Linked DNA regions of Tamandua tetradactyla. The protein of the gene in region 1 purifies or fractionates together with the protein of each later gene. This does not show direct contact. Links are inferred from orthologs where the notes say so. Each region holds a gene or a part of one and is shown on either strand. Other genes may lie near its edges.

Region 1 (7,421 bases):
ATATGGTAGAGTTAAGGACAGAGGGTTCTAAAAGAACATGGTGTTCCAAGTCCCAATCTGAGCTTCCAAAGGCAGGTTCTAGATGTTATGCCAATTTTCTTTAAAAAAAAAAAAAAAAAGAGAGAGAAACTGCCCAAAAGTAACAAAAGTCAAAAAACAAAGCCATAATACAAATAATACTCTTCATGATGGCTGCATTTCCACCCTCCTCTGCAAAATGATGAGAGTGAGTCAGTACCTAACTTTCCCTCATCTCTTTTGCCAAGAGGTAGATAAAGTAACTGCTACTGCAAAGTAAACAGGGACATGGAGACTTGGTTCATTCCCAAAGGGAATCTAAAAATTATAACTACGTCAGCTAACATTTATTTAGGAATTAGGTGGTTTCAGAGATGTGCTTAGAAAATTTTCCATTAAAATGAGTCAACAGACCAGAAAGAAGAGGAATGTTCAAATAAAGTTCAGAATCAAAATCCCAGTCAGTAGCCTCTTCACTTTCCTCCCAGTTTAATAGCTGACAGTATTGTAATTTTCCATGAGAAATTAATAGAAGCATTTTACAATTCATGATCAAGTTATTTGGGGAAGAGCGCTGTTATCTTCTAGTTGCTGGAACCAGTAATAAGCGAAGAAAGATGCAAAGGGGGATGGAACTCACATCTATCAAACACTAGGTATTTTGCTAAGAGTTTTCTACATAAATTATTCTCACCACCCTCCTAGAGCTATTATAATAACAGAGGATGGTAGAACAAAATTCAAACTCAAACCTCTGCCTCCAAAGTTCATTTTTCCCGATAGGCCACAGTCTCCTAGGCAATAGGTTTATGTTCTTGAAACTTACAATATGAAAAACCCTTGCACTGCCCTTAGGCTGAGACATAATAAATCACCATGGTACATCATGTAAAGCATTGCATGATATATTCTTGATGTGCTGAGAAATCTCATTGCCACGCGGAGACTGACACCCCTGAAGTAACACACAACTGCTTTACAAAAGCTGGTCGTGGAACCAGTGACTGTTCTAATGAACGGGGCAGGCTATATGATAACTGACCGCCATTAGCTGCCCCAAACTCAAGATGGTTTTGTAGATATTGATACCATCTTAGCTCCCTCTGCTGATGTTGAATTTCAAACAAAAACAGATACCTTTGACATAGGTCTATTATGAGCACAAAAGAACGGGAAGAAAAGTTGCCAAAGTTTGAACATCCCAGGAGAAAAGAAGCTTAACAGCACTGGCAAACAGTGATGGGTGATAAATTGCAACAGTCAGAATTTTGTCTCCAAAGCAACTGAGTTACTAAACATGTTTGTGAACTACAAAAGAACCATCAGGATTCAATCTAATGTTAAACCGAAAGTAAAACCAGGATCATTTAAAATATGCCTTAGAGTTCCATGTGATATATGTGCCTTATTTAGCCCAACAGACATTTCTAGACCTTTCTCGCCTCTGCCTCTTACAGGTTTTGTAAACTCTGACAATGCCAAGGGATCCCTTCTCTGTACAATCAGGAGATTGGATCAGATGATTACTGAACTGTCAGTTCTGTAATGTCAGATTTGGTAGCAATGCACAAACTAAAATGTCACCTGACATATTAAATCAACAGAGAAAAAGACTATTCTTCAAAAACTTGATGTTACCACACTTGAATTTGAAAATTATAAAGACAGCTGTCTAAATGATTCTACTTCCACTTTAGTGTATACCCCCAGAAAGAAACATTTTCTTTGAAAAGCACCCAACACTTTTTTACAACTATGTATTAATTTATCACCAGGATAAATGGTTAGCATGCTAAATAAATCAGATAACTTTTTTTAAAAAACCTTTGCACCAACCTAAAATAAAGGGAATACAGGCAGACTCATATTTTGCTTTAAGTTATCAGTGTCACATTCATGTAAACAGCAGTAATCAAAGCAGCACATCCTAACAATATAGAATGTAGATAGCAGTGCAGATAACAGTTTTGCCTTGAGAGATGTAGAAGCTTACTTTTTCATTCAGAAAAGTAAGCAAAAGGAGAGCATCTGTTATTTGGGAATGTGAGCAAACAGGATGGTGTCCTTTACACAAGAAGGCTCTCCATAAACCTCGTATCTTCCATGAAAGCCTAAGAGCAGTCTGGCCCAAAGGCTCATCTGGCCACTGCGCATGAAGGGGCTAGAACCAAGGGGCAGTAATGAAAGAAGGGACTGGAAAGGCAGGTCAGGGTGGGTCCAAGGAAAACGTGAATGCCTCTCCAGTCTTCCTTAAGAATGTATCAACCCTCCTTCTGCGTTCCAATAGCATCTTGGAAATCTCTGTCAGCACTTTTCACACTGAGTGGAAGTTATATCCGTGTTCGCCCCCTTGACAGATATCTGCGTTCCACTAAAGAGAAAGCAGCTTTGACCCATCTCTGAATTCACAGTCTACCACGGCGCCCGGCACGGAGGAAGGGCTTAGTGAACGTTTGCTGATAACAAGACTAAGACTTAGGACTCTGGCAATGCGAGGGCTCTAAACGTTGACAGAGTGTGCACAGATTTGGGGAGAGAAATCACAGAGCCCCAAAAGGAGTCTTCAACCTAGGCTCAAGAATGACAGTTTGGGGTCCAAAAAAATCAGGGAAAACCTATTGCCTGCCCACGGAAATGCAGACAGAGCTTCGCCTCGCCTCGCCTTCTCCCCCGAGGGTATCACCTGGACTTACGCTGGGCGCTGCCCAGCTCGGCGTGGCGACTGCAGTCAGAGTCCCGGTGACGACAATACATGTCTTCTTTCCCGAGGCAGAAGGGAAGTGCGGGTACCCAGCCAGCAAGCCGGCGCGGGGATTTCGTCAGCCTGCACCAATCCCCTCCGCCGCTAGGGTCCCGGGAAAGCGGGTCATAAGGAGCCCTCCACGCCCTGGGCCAAGGGTCTGCTTGGCGTCCCCCAAGGCCCCTCTCGGCATCGCGGCCGCTGGCGGCCCGCAAACTCGGGCCAAACCTGGGCATCCTCGCGCGTCCCCTTGCGAACTCCGCACGGTCCGGCTGTCTCGCCGGCGATGCCCCGACCCTGGGGGGGGGGGGGGGGGCCAGGGACCAGCCCACCCCGCCGCGCGAGCGCCCGAGCCGCGCGGGCTGCGGCTGCGCCCGGCTGCCACGTCGCCCCTCTAGTCAGAGGGAAATGCCACCGCCACCCAGGGCTGGGATGCTCGGGAGGAACCGCCCCTGCATCCTCGCGGGTCCGCGCAGCCGCCTGCCTTCCGTTACCCCTGGGCTTCCCGCGCCGACCCAGCTCCTCGACCCTCTTACCGAACAGCCGAGCGACAGAAAGGGCGATGGCGGAGGCGGCAGCTCTGCGCGGGCCGGAGCAGCCCGGCTGCCAGTGTTGACACAAGACGCAGGGGAGCCATAGCCCGTGCCGCTGCGCGCGCCAGGAGAGAAATACAAGCGCGGGCCACACAGTTATACCGCGGCCGCATGGCAGGTCCCGCCTCCCGCCGACACCCATTGGTCGGTGCCCCACTCCCCTTGCAGTCTGTCGAGACTCCTGGAGCTGAAGTAGCCAATCATTTGTCTTCATTATACGTCAGCGACGTATAGTAAAGCCAGGTTTATGATCTCTTGGAGCACCTGGAACTGGGCCCAGCAAGGCTTGGAAGCCTCAGTGCCCGTCGTGATTGGCTGAGGAAGGCAAGCCCCTGCCTGACGCAGCTGGGGTCGCGGAAGTTGTGCCAAATGCCGGAGAAGGCGTTCATTCATTGAGCAAGCATCTGAGCGCCTACCGTGTGTCAGTCACTAGCGGTAAAGGGTGGTGAAAAGACAGGCAGTTAGAAAATCAACCAATAAATGTAGAAAGAATGACGGAGGTAGAAAATCACCGTTTGGCAAAATCATAGTAAAAATTGATTTAGGCAAAAATTATTCATGGATTTCAAATCAACTGGGTGCAAGTTTGCTAAGGAACAAGATATTTACTATCCAGTTGCCAGATTTAAAATATAAAAATACAAGAAGCCCTGTTAAGTTTGAATTTCTGATAAGTAATTCTGGATGGTCATACTTACACTAAAAAAGTATTCAGTGTTGCTATGAAATTGAAATTCCCCTGCGCAGCCTCTATATTATCTTGCAATCCTATTGACATGGTCTCCAAATATCTCCTCCACAAAATATTTATTAATTACACAGGGGAAAAATAATAAATTTACAGTGGAGAAATCTTAAAGCAATCAATATTAACAACACAAACATACTGTCCGTGCCTCCAGATACGATGCATTCAGGAGGACGCAGGACTTCGTAACTTTTCACAAGCATGAAAATCTGATGAAGTGATTTCTCTAAACCGTGGGTCTCCGCTAAATTGTTACAAATTTCTCATTTTCACATCAAAAGAAGAGATCATATGACCAAGAAGTTAAGATTTAACATAATTAAGGTTAATGAATCATTATATAGACATTTCTTTTTTACTTTCTAGTATATTGGAATAGCCAGAAGGAAATGCCTAAAATTACCCAACTATAACCCAACTGCCTTGATCTTTGATAATGATTGTATTACAATGTAGCCTTTATCTTGTGATTGTAAAAACCTCATGACTGACCCACATTTGTACCCCTAATTCTGTTTTTAAACTTTAGAATATTATGATCACAGAAGACAGCCCCTCACGTTTATTAATGAAGAAACTTGAATCACCCCAGCACTAACCCATCCCAATTCCTAAACAATCTTGCTCGATGAAGCTGGATCTAACCAGAATTCGTCTGCCTGAACGAATTCTTAAATTCTAAGAATTTAAGCTTAAATTCTTAGAATTTAAGAATTTAAATTTAAGCAGCTTAAATTTTAACTATAAATAAACTATCCCTCATTACAATGCTGAAAATCACGCCCATCATAGCATTAAGGCCACCATTTTCTTACATAAATTCTAAGCATATAATCTAGATCATCTCCAATTACAGCATTTAGAACCATTTTGCTCATTATCCTAAAACCTGCCCATCTTTTGATATTATAAAGCTGTCAGAGGGTGGGCCACAGTGGCTTACTGGCAGAGTTCTTGCCTGCCATGCCAGAGACCTGGGTTCGATTCCCAGTGCCTTCCCATGTTAAAAAAAAAAAAAAATTCGTCAGTGTTACTGTGGTTTGGAAAGACAGATTTTTAGGGTGATGGGCCATCTGATCTGCTTCACACTTAGCAAAAAATTCTCTCTTTGAAACCCCGGTGTCACAGGTTGGCTATTAATGTGTATTGGGCAGAGAACCCCCTGCTTTTGATTGATATCAATCACAGACCTGGAATATTTCGATTGTCCAGGAAAAAACCATATTTCTGAAATTTTGGAATATGTTAGTAGATCTCAATCTTATGAAGAAACATCAGACATGTATGTTTGGTAGATATGGAGTGTGTATTAATAAAAAGTAATAAATTACAAATAAAGATAAATCAGACAAACCCAAACTAAGACACATTCTACAAAATGAGCAGCTTGTACTCTTCAAAATGTCAAGGTCATGAAAGACAAAGAATGTGGAACTGTTCTACATTAAAGGAGACTAAAGAGACATGATGACTAACTGCAATGAGTGATTTGGGATTGGATTCTGGACCAGAAAATAGAAGTAGTTTCTCCCTCCTTCCTTCCTTCCCTCCTTGTTCCCCATCTCCTCCTCTTCCCACTTCTCTCCCTGCCCCCCACTTTGGTATCCCACCTCCTCCTTCTTCTCCTTGCTATAAAGGATATTAGGGAACAATTGCCAAAAAATGAATGAGGTCTGCAGATTAACTAAGAACATTGTACCAATGTTAATTTATGTTAATTTACTGATTTATATAATGATACTGTGACTATGTACCACAGTTGAATAAGAGACTGTATTTGTTTTTAGAGATAAAGGGACACTATCAGCAATTTACAACTTCAGATGCTTCAGAAAAAGAAAAGGACATACATAAAGAGAAACTGATAAAGCAAATGGCAAATGTAAGATAGTAGCAAATGGCAAATGTAAAATAGTAACAATCTGGGTGAACAAGTATTCTTTGAATGTCTGTAACTTTTCTGTAAATCTGAAATTATTTAAAATTTTTTTGAAAAGAAAGACTGTGCCAGTTTTAAAGGATTTTTGTACCCTAGAAAAGCCTAGGGTACAATGTTTTAATCCTAATCCCATTTGGTAAAAACAGCTACTTCTTCTAATCCCTATCCAGCACTATAGGTTGAAAACTTGATTAGGTTATCTCCAGGGACACGTGACTCAATCAATTCTGGGTCTTAAACGTGATTAGATGAAGACGTGTCTACACGCATTCCAGGTGGGTCTTGATTACTTTATGGAATCCTTTAAAAGAAGCATTTTTGGAAAAGGTTTGAGATCTGAGAGAGCCACCAGACTGACCACGACGACAAAACCATGGGAAGCAGAGAGTACAACAGCCAGCGACCTTCGGAGACGAAGAAGGAGAATGCTCCCAGGGAGCTTCATGGAGCAAGAGGCCTGGAGAAGAAGCTAACACCATGTTCGCCATGTGCCTTTCCAGTTGAGAGAAACCTTGAACTTCGTTGGCCTTTCTTGAGTGAAGGTAACCTCTTGTTAGTGCCTTAATTTGGACATTTTTATAGACTTGCTTTAATTGAGACATTTTCATGACCTGAGAACTGTAAACTTGCAACTTATTAAACTCCCCTTTTTAAAAGCTGCTCCATTTCTGTATATTGCATTTCAGCAGCTAGCAAACTAGAACAGAGATTAACAAGGCTTCTGCCTTCATGGGGCTTGGAGGTAAAGTAAACACAAAATGAACAAGAGAAGAAACAAAGGAAAAGAATATGGTCTGAGAAAACTCAAGAGAGTGGATGTGAAAGGCTGTGTAGACCTGAGAATACCCTACAAGTCCTGTGGTTGGGTACATGATGTGTCCCAGAATCTGTCTCCAGCAAGCTGTGGGGAAGAGACGCCCAGTTTTGATAGCTCTCTGGACTTTGCAGCAGAGGCTTGAAGAAGGAAAGGAACCAGACACATCCTGTTCTTAAGAAACCTAACCCTCCCACCACCTGCAGGATTCTGGAAATTCTATATTCCCAAAAGGTGAACTCTCAAAAGTAAAACCATGAGGACATTATTATATGTTTTTAATATACTTAACAAAAGAATTTGCTTCTATGCTCTCACAGTATTACATGGAAATGCCGTTTAGTTAACACACTTATTTTATGTCCTAAGTTTTAGTCCAAATTCTGTAGGTTGGGGGTGCTCAGACCCTTTTACCTTCCAACTCCAACTAGCCTTTCTGCCTACTCTTTCTTTGCCCTGCCCTCCACTAAGTATATCATGTGCCAAATGGTATTCGGTTGCCTCTGTTTTCCCAGCTGGAAATGCTCTCCTCTCTTTGCTCCCCACCGACTCTGCTACCCAAGGCTGCA
Region 2 (6,937 bases), on another chromosome or scaffold:
TCCATTCCGGTCCCTCCACTCACAGCGCCCCCACTGCTGGGCCTATCCCCAGGCACCCCTTCCCTGGGGCTGGGACCTCCCCATCAGGCTCGCACGTCCCTGGGGCAGGCACAGGGTCCCCAGGGCCTGGAGCCCCCACCACCCCTGCATGCAGGACCCTCGGGGGCAGGTGCTGGGTGGGAGGGGACTGCCTGCCAGCTCGGGACCTCCACAGGGCCCAGTGGGGACACTGGGTGGCTGGGGGTGCGGGCGGGTGAGGGGGTGGCCTGGGAGCTATGGGGGGGCAGCCGGGCTTGTGGGGGACAGGGATTGGCAGGTGAGGGGAAAGGCAGCCTGGGGGTGCACATTCGGCGGTCCTGGGCAGTGCGGGGTGGCACTGAGAAAGGCCTGTGGCCCTGCCCCATATCGGTCAGGTGGGGCCCTGTCCGCCCTGCCTCCGGGGGCTGCAGGGTCTGAGGTTTCCACCTGCCCACCAGGCCGCTTGGGGCCCCTAGCACCCTACCCCACATCCAGCAGAGCCCCACCTGCCTGTCCCACGTCACAGGGCCTGTGAGGCAGTGGAGGGGCTCCTTCCCGAGACACCCACTCTGCGCTCAGCCACCCCTAGCCCTGCTGGACACCCCGCCCGCGGCCGCTTCAGCCGTCCGTGCCCTGCGCTGTGCAGAGGGTCCCCAGGCTCCACCCTCCTGCGGCCCCAGGCCCCGGCACTCACCAGCCGGGTGGGGGACAGGCCTTCCTCCAGCAACGGCCCATTGCGGCCGTCTGCGCCCTCGCTGGGTGGGCAGGGGTTCTGCGGGCCCGGCCAGCTCAGCTCCCACACGCGGATGCTGGGCGTGCGGGGCCGAGGCCCCCCGGCTGTGTCCCAGGCGGGCTCCATTCACATCCCACCTGGCGGGAGGAGCAGAGCGCAAGCTGGGCACGCCGGGGTCCGCAGCCCACCTCCCACCGGCCCCTGGGCTGTTCCCCAGCCCTGTGCCCGATGGTGGGACCGGCCGCCCAGCACACGCAGCATCAGGGTCCCCTCCCACCCTGGGGACCCGACTGATGCAACAACTGCAGCCTCAGCCAACCCAGCTCATACCCTGTCCCCGCCAAGGCTGCCCCAGGCGATCGGCCTCCCGGAACGCTCCAGCCTCTCTGGCTCTGGGGTCTCACACACACACACACACACACACACACACACACACACACACACACACACACACACACACACACACACACACACACACACACACACACACACACGGCCCAAGCAAGGGGCTTCGCTCCACAGCTCTCTCCCCCATCTAAGCCTGGGGAGCTGCAAGGATGGGGGCTGTGAGGCTGTGACCTTGGGGTACTGCGAGGCTAGAGAACTGTGATCTTGGGGGCGGGGGAGGCTGGGGGACTGTGACTCTGGGGAGCTGTGACCTTGGGGTGCTGTGAGACTGGGGGCTGCTTCTGGGGGTCTGTGAGCCTGTGGGGGCGGGTTCCACGGCTGCCCACGACTAGCAATTGAGCACCTAAACAGGCTCCACCCGATGGTCCTGAACCCTAGGCCCAGGAGCAGAGCCCCAGGCACTGCCACCATCCCCCTTGGCACCCCAGCGCTGCCCTGTGCAGTGGAGATCTGTACCTGCGGGCAGCTGCCTTCTCCTGCATGAGTCAGACATCCAGCCGGGGGGCCTCAGGCAGCACCTGCAGGAGAGAGAAGCTGCGACCCAGGCCCAAGGGGTGCCCCCGCCTCCTGCCCGCGGGTGTGAGGGTCGCTGCCGACCCGTGGCCCTCCTCACCCCGCTGGGGCTAAGAGGAGAAGGAGCCAGGCAGGCCCATGGAGCAAGTCACTGCTGCACGGGCTCTCTGGGCCCCCAGGTGAATCCCCACCCCTCTCCCAAGCCCCTTTCCTCCACACCCTGCTGGGACCCGCTGGCCTGGGGTCTGCCCGCTCCGAGCCCTCCCCACCCTTCGGGGCCTGCGCCCGGGTCTCAGCCTGTGGGGTGTGGCCTGCTCCCCGCACCCACGCGCGGCCCCGCATCAAGCAGGCGCGCCTGAGGGGGCGCGTGAACAGCCGGTGAATGGGAGAACGCAAGGGGCCGCGCCCTCGGGCCTGGGGTCCGGGTGGTCCTCACCGGCAGCCCCTCCCCGGACGCGGGCTGAGCAGCCAAGACCCCCGGCCGCGGCCCTGCGTCGGGGGGCGGGGCGCAGGGGGCGCCGGCGGCCTGGAAGTTTCTGTAGCGCCCCCCCCCCCCCCCCCCCGCCCAGCAGGTGCTCAACAAACATCTGCTAAATAAAGGAACGAATTGCCCTTTTTGATGGGTGTTGCAAAATACATCTATTTCGCCATCGTCGAACGCTCAAAAGACAAATCTTATAACTACATCTTTGCAACTGAGATTTCTTCAAAAATTTCCTGAAAGTCAGGTACAAAGAGCTGAACTGTGTGCTGAAAGGGCGACGTCTGGGTGCCGGTGACTGCGCCCTGGAAAGCAGGGGGCTTCCCGCCCCCGCAAAGGCCCTGCAGACCCCGCCCGACCCTCCCACCCCACCCGGGGCGCCAACCCCAGACCCCCTTCCAGCACCTCCTCATTGCCCCTCAGTCCCCACACGAGGCCCCTGTCCAAGAGACCATGTGGCCAGGGCCAGTTTTGGGGGTGCAGGCTCCGCGAGTGGGTGGGGGCATCCACGTGGTTTAGCCCCTGCATTATCCATTCGCTCTGGGCCCCTTCACCGCCCGTCCCGCCTCCCGCCCTCTCCTGATGACCCGGGGCCGCTGTCCCCACCCGGCCTGGCCCCTCCTGCGTGGTGCTTCCCCCAGCGCTGAGCTCCCACGGCCTTACCCAGCCACCGGCTGAGGACCCCGCCTCCCAAGGCCCTGGGCCTCCTCCCCTCTCGTCAGCGCGGATGCCCGGGCCATGGCGGCACAAAGAGCGTGAGTGAGGTGTACGAGCTGGGACTTGGGGTGCAACAGGGAGGTCTGGTAGAACAGCAACCTGGCTCTGCTCTGCGGGCCAGTGCATAGCTGCCGCTGCCACCGAAGTTCCTGTGGGTGGCCGGGTCCGGGAGCAGGGGGCAGCGGGCAGGAGGTGCACACAGCGAGGGACCAACAGCAGGGCGGCAGAATGGGACCAGACCCCACACGCTCAGCGGACCCTCCGTGGCGGGCTTGGCCCAGCACGCAGCTGGGAGGGCGGGAGGGCGGAGGCGCGGCGCAGTCCCGGCTGGCCGCCTTGGTTGGAGGCAATTCTGGTGATCCGCAAGCAGAGTGACCAGATCTCTCACTACTCCCGGGCTCCCAGTGTGACCCCCTCCCTGGCATCCCCTTGGGATGGTGCTGCCCACCTAACCCGCCCCCCCACCCCGACGCCAGCCCAGGGTGATGGGAAGGGCACGGGCCAGGGTGCTATGCTTCCGCGGGCGCCTCTGGCCGGAAGAGGCCGAGCGCCGCCCAATGTGCCCCCGTCCCGCCCTGGTCTCTCTCATGTGCGCCCCCCATGGAGACCCCCAGAACAGAATCTGGGCCCCAGCCTTTGTCTCTCCCTCTCAGGGAAGACCTGACCGCCCCCCCCCACCGTGACCCTAGGGACTAATGCCGGCCCCACCAGGACACTGCGTCCTACTCGCGCCCCTCGGCGTCGCGCAGGGGCGAGGCCTGAGGTCCGGTCCGAGGGCGCCCTCGGCTCTCACCTGGGGATGCCCCCACCGCGGGGCTTTCGGGGAGTCGGGCTGTTCTTCCGCCCGGGGGTTGCGGGCCCGGGCTCCATGGCAACGGGGGCGGGGCCACACGCCACCAAGCCTAAGCCGCGGGGATCCCCCGCCGCGGAGCCCGCGGCTGAGCCACGCCCCCAGGAGCGGTTGCTAGGGCCCGCCGGGCCGGGGCAGTGGTCGCGACCCTGCGCGGCCCGGTACACGCGTGGGAGCCCTCCCCCAGGCTCTGTGCCCCGCGCGCCCGCGGGGGAGCGGGGTGGGAAGGGAGTCGCCATCGGTTGGAGGGGAACCGGGAGGCTCGCGCGCCCCTCTCTCCCAGGTGGGCAGGTCGCCCGAGATCCCCCGGGATTTACCTTCCGCCGCGCAGTGCGAGCAACGCGACGAGAGGGGGCGCGGCGGGGAAAGGACCCTCCTATCCGAGAGAAACCCAGACCGCACCCCGGAGCGCCCATGCGCCCCCGCGTACACCGGCGCTCCCCCGAAACTGGCTCCACGCCCCGCAGCGCGGGTGGGTAGGGCCAAGGTCGCGACGCGGGGGACGCGGCCGTGCGCGGGAGGGGCCAGGCCGGGGTGGAGAGAGTGGCCCGCGGTGTGCGCCCTGGGGCCTCGGCCGAGACGTCAGCGGCTCCTGTGCGCTGGGAGGGCGGCGGGACGGGAAGCCCCTCCGCAGTCCTTCCCCTTTTTTGCTGAAAGAAGTAGGGTGTATTCGTGCAGGACCCCAACGTTTTAGAATACGTTTAAAGTTTCTATTTGAATCGTAAAAAAGAACGCGCGCTTGCGCTTGCGGGAATCTTGTCCGTTCGCCCCCCGGGGCAGCTGTTCGGGTTGGACGTGCCCAGGCGCCGGAATCGGGTGTGCCGTGAGCCCCGCGGGCCGCAGAGGCGCAGCCGGGGGTGCGGGGAGCTGCGTGGGCGGAGGCGTCGGCAGGGCCGGGCTGGGGCTGGGGGCAGCGGGAGACAGGAAAGTGCGAAGCAAGGGCCAGCGTAGGCAAGAGCGCGCGCCGAGACTCGTCCCCCGACCCCGGGCACGGCTGCGGGGCGGGGCCGCCTGGACCGCAGAGACTCGTCCTTCCGCCGCCCTCGCTCTCCCGCGCCCGCGGAGTCCGGCTCCCTAACCCTCCACGACCCCGAGACCCCGCTACGAGTGCGACCCACGCCCACGCCCACGCCCACGCCCACGAACACCACTGGAGCTCGGCCCCGCCCTCCGCGCCGCTCCAGGAAGTCCCGCCCAGCCGCGGTTTGACCGACGGGCCGTTCAGCCAACCGAAGCGCGGTCAGGGCGGAGGCGGCCTTGGGGCGGGGCAGGGACGTGCGGACCAATGGTAGGCCGCGTCTAGTGGACGGACCGACGCGGGGCGGGATCTTGCCGGGCGAGCCAGTAGTGGGCCGCTGCGGGATGACGGACGGACGCAGGGCGGGGCGTTCGTGTGCCCGGCCGAGTCGACGCCGACGCCGTCCGCGCCTCCCGCAGCCGGAGCCGCACCCGCCGCGGAGGGATCCCATGCGCGGGGCGCGTCGCGTTCCCGCCCCGGCCCCAGCCTCCGCCCCGGCCCCGGGGGCAGACGCGTCAGTGGGCGGTGAGTGGCAGGCGAGGGCCAGGGGGCCGCGGCGCGCGGTGGCGTGGGCCTGGCGCCCCTCCCCCTCCGAGGCGCAGGCGCTTCCCCCGAGCAGCGGGCGGGGGCGGCGGGGAGTGCGGCGGGAGCCGCGCCCCACCTCGCCGAGGGCGGGAGGCCAACTTGCTAGTTCTCGGTCTGGGAGGCTGCGGCGGTGGGTGGGGGTACAGGTGAGCCTCGGGGTTCAGGAAGGGGTGCAGGGGAACCTCGGGATTCGAGTGGGAGTAGATGGGTGCCTCGGGGTTAGGGTGAAGGCTGCGGGGGAGCCTTGGGGTTCGAGTGGGGGCTGCAGGGGAGCCTCGTAGTTCGAGAGGGGATGCAGGGGAGCCTCGGGATTTGGGGGGTTGCAGGGGAAATCGGAGTTCGGTTAGGGATACAAGTGAGCCTCGAGTTCGGGTGGGGGTGCAGGTGAGTGTCGGGGTTTGGGTGGGGGTGCAAGGGAGCCTTGGGGTTCGGGTGGGGTTCAGGTGATCCTCGGGATTCTGGTGGGGGTTTAGGTGAGCCTCCGGGTTCTACTAGGTGTACAGGTGAGCCTCGGGCTTCACGTGGCGATGCAGGGTAGCCTCGGGGTTCGCTTGGCTGTGGAAGGGAGCCTCGGGGTTTGGGTGGGGGTACAGGGGAGCCTCGGGGTTTGGGTGGGGTTCAGGTGAGTCTCGGGGTTCATATGGGGGTACAGGGGAGCGTCGGAGTTCGGGTGGGGTTCAGGTGAGTCTCGGGGTTCAGGTGGGGGTACAAGGGAACCTCGGGGTTTGGGTGGAGGTACAGGGGAGCCTCGGGGTTCGGATGGGGTTCAGGTGAGCCTCCGGGTTTGGATGGGATACAGGTGAGCCTCGAGGTTCGGGTGGGGTGCAGGGGAGCTTCAGGGTTTGGGTGGGGGTGCAACAGAGCCTCAGGGTTCGGGTAGGGGTTCAGTTGAGCCTTGGGATTCGGGTGGGGGTTTAGGTGAGCCTCCGGGTTCTGGTGGGTGTTCAGGTGACTGAAGCTCAGGCTTCAGGTGGTGGTGCAGGGCAGCCTCAGAGTTCGCTTGGGGGTGAAAGGGATCGTTGGGTTGGGGTGCAAGGGAGCCTCCACGTTCAAGTAGGGGTGCAGAGGAGCCTCAGGGTTTGGGTGGGGGTGCATGTGAACCTCCGGGTTTGGGTGGGGTACAGGGGAGCCTCAGAGTTCAGGTGGGGGTACAAGGGAACCTCAGGGTCAGATAGGGGTGCAAGGGAGCCTCGGGGTTCAGGTGGGGGTCCATGGGAGACTTGGCCATCGGGTGGACGTGCAGGTGAGCGTTGGGGGTTGAGTGGGGGTGCAGGGGAGCCTCAAAGTTCGGGTAGGGGTTCAGGTGAGCCTCAGGGTCTTGGTGGGGGGATTAGGTGAGCCTCTCCGTTCTGGTGGGGGTACAGGTGAGCTTCGGGTTTCGGGTGGGGGTGCAGGGGAGCCTCGGGGTTCGGGTAGGGGTGCAGGGGAGCCTTGGGGTTTGGGTGGGGGTGGAGAGGAGGCTCAGGGTTTGAGTGGGGGTGCTAAGGAGCCTCAGGGTTCAAGTGATGGTACAGGCTGACACGTGTGTGCCATTGGGGGTATATGTGGGGTTCAAGGCAGTGCCTCAGTTCTGACTGTTCCCTTACTCTTGAGGGGTTTCTTAAGTACTCTCCT

Evidence for each region.
Region 2: the proteins of MTHFD2 (region 1) and HRAS purify together in Homo sapiens (co-immunoprecipitation; 4 studies listed by BioGRID and IntAct, with this or other methods). This does not show direct contact. The link is inferred for Tamandua tetradactyla from reciprocal best matches to the Homo sapiens genes MTHFD2 and HRAS.

What each region holds. Positions count from the first base shown.
Region 1 is NC_135343.1:48,071,796-48,079,216, reverse strand, and holds the start of MTHFD2 (bifunctional methylenetetrahydrofolate dehydrogenase/cyclohydrolase, mitochondrial), read right to left. Parts: upstream 3,018-7,421; 5' UTR 2,995-3,017; coding exon 2,702-2,994; intron 1-2,701. UniProt on the Homo sapiens protein: Although its dehydrogenase activity is NAD-specific, it can also utilize NADP at a reduced efficiency.
Region 2 is NC_135335.1:395,754-402,690, reverse strand, and holds the start of HRAS (GTPase HRas), read left to right. Parts: upstream 1-3,923; 5' UTR 3,924-4,003; intron 4,004-5,166; exon of another isoform or gene 5,167-5,263; intron 5,264-5,397; exon of another isoform or gene 5,398-5,469; intron 5,470-5,619; exon of another isoform or gene 5,620-5,707; intron 5,708-6,815; exon of another isoform or gene 6,816-6,937. Other genes in the region: LRRC56 (leucine-rich repeat-containing protein 56), read right to left, coding at 713-877. UniProt on the Homo sapiens protein: Involved in the activation of Ras protein signal transduction. Ras proteins bind GDP/GTP and possess intrinsic GTPase activity.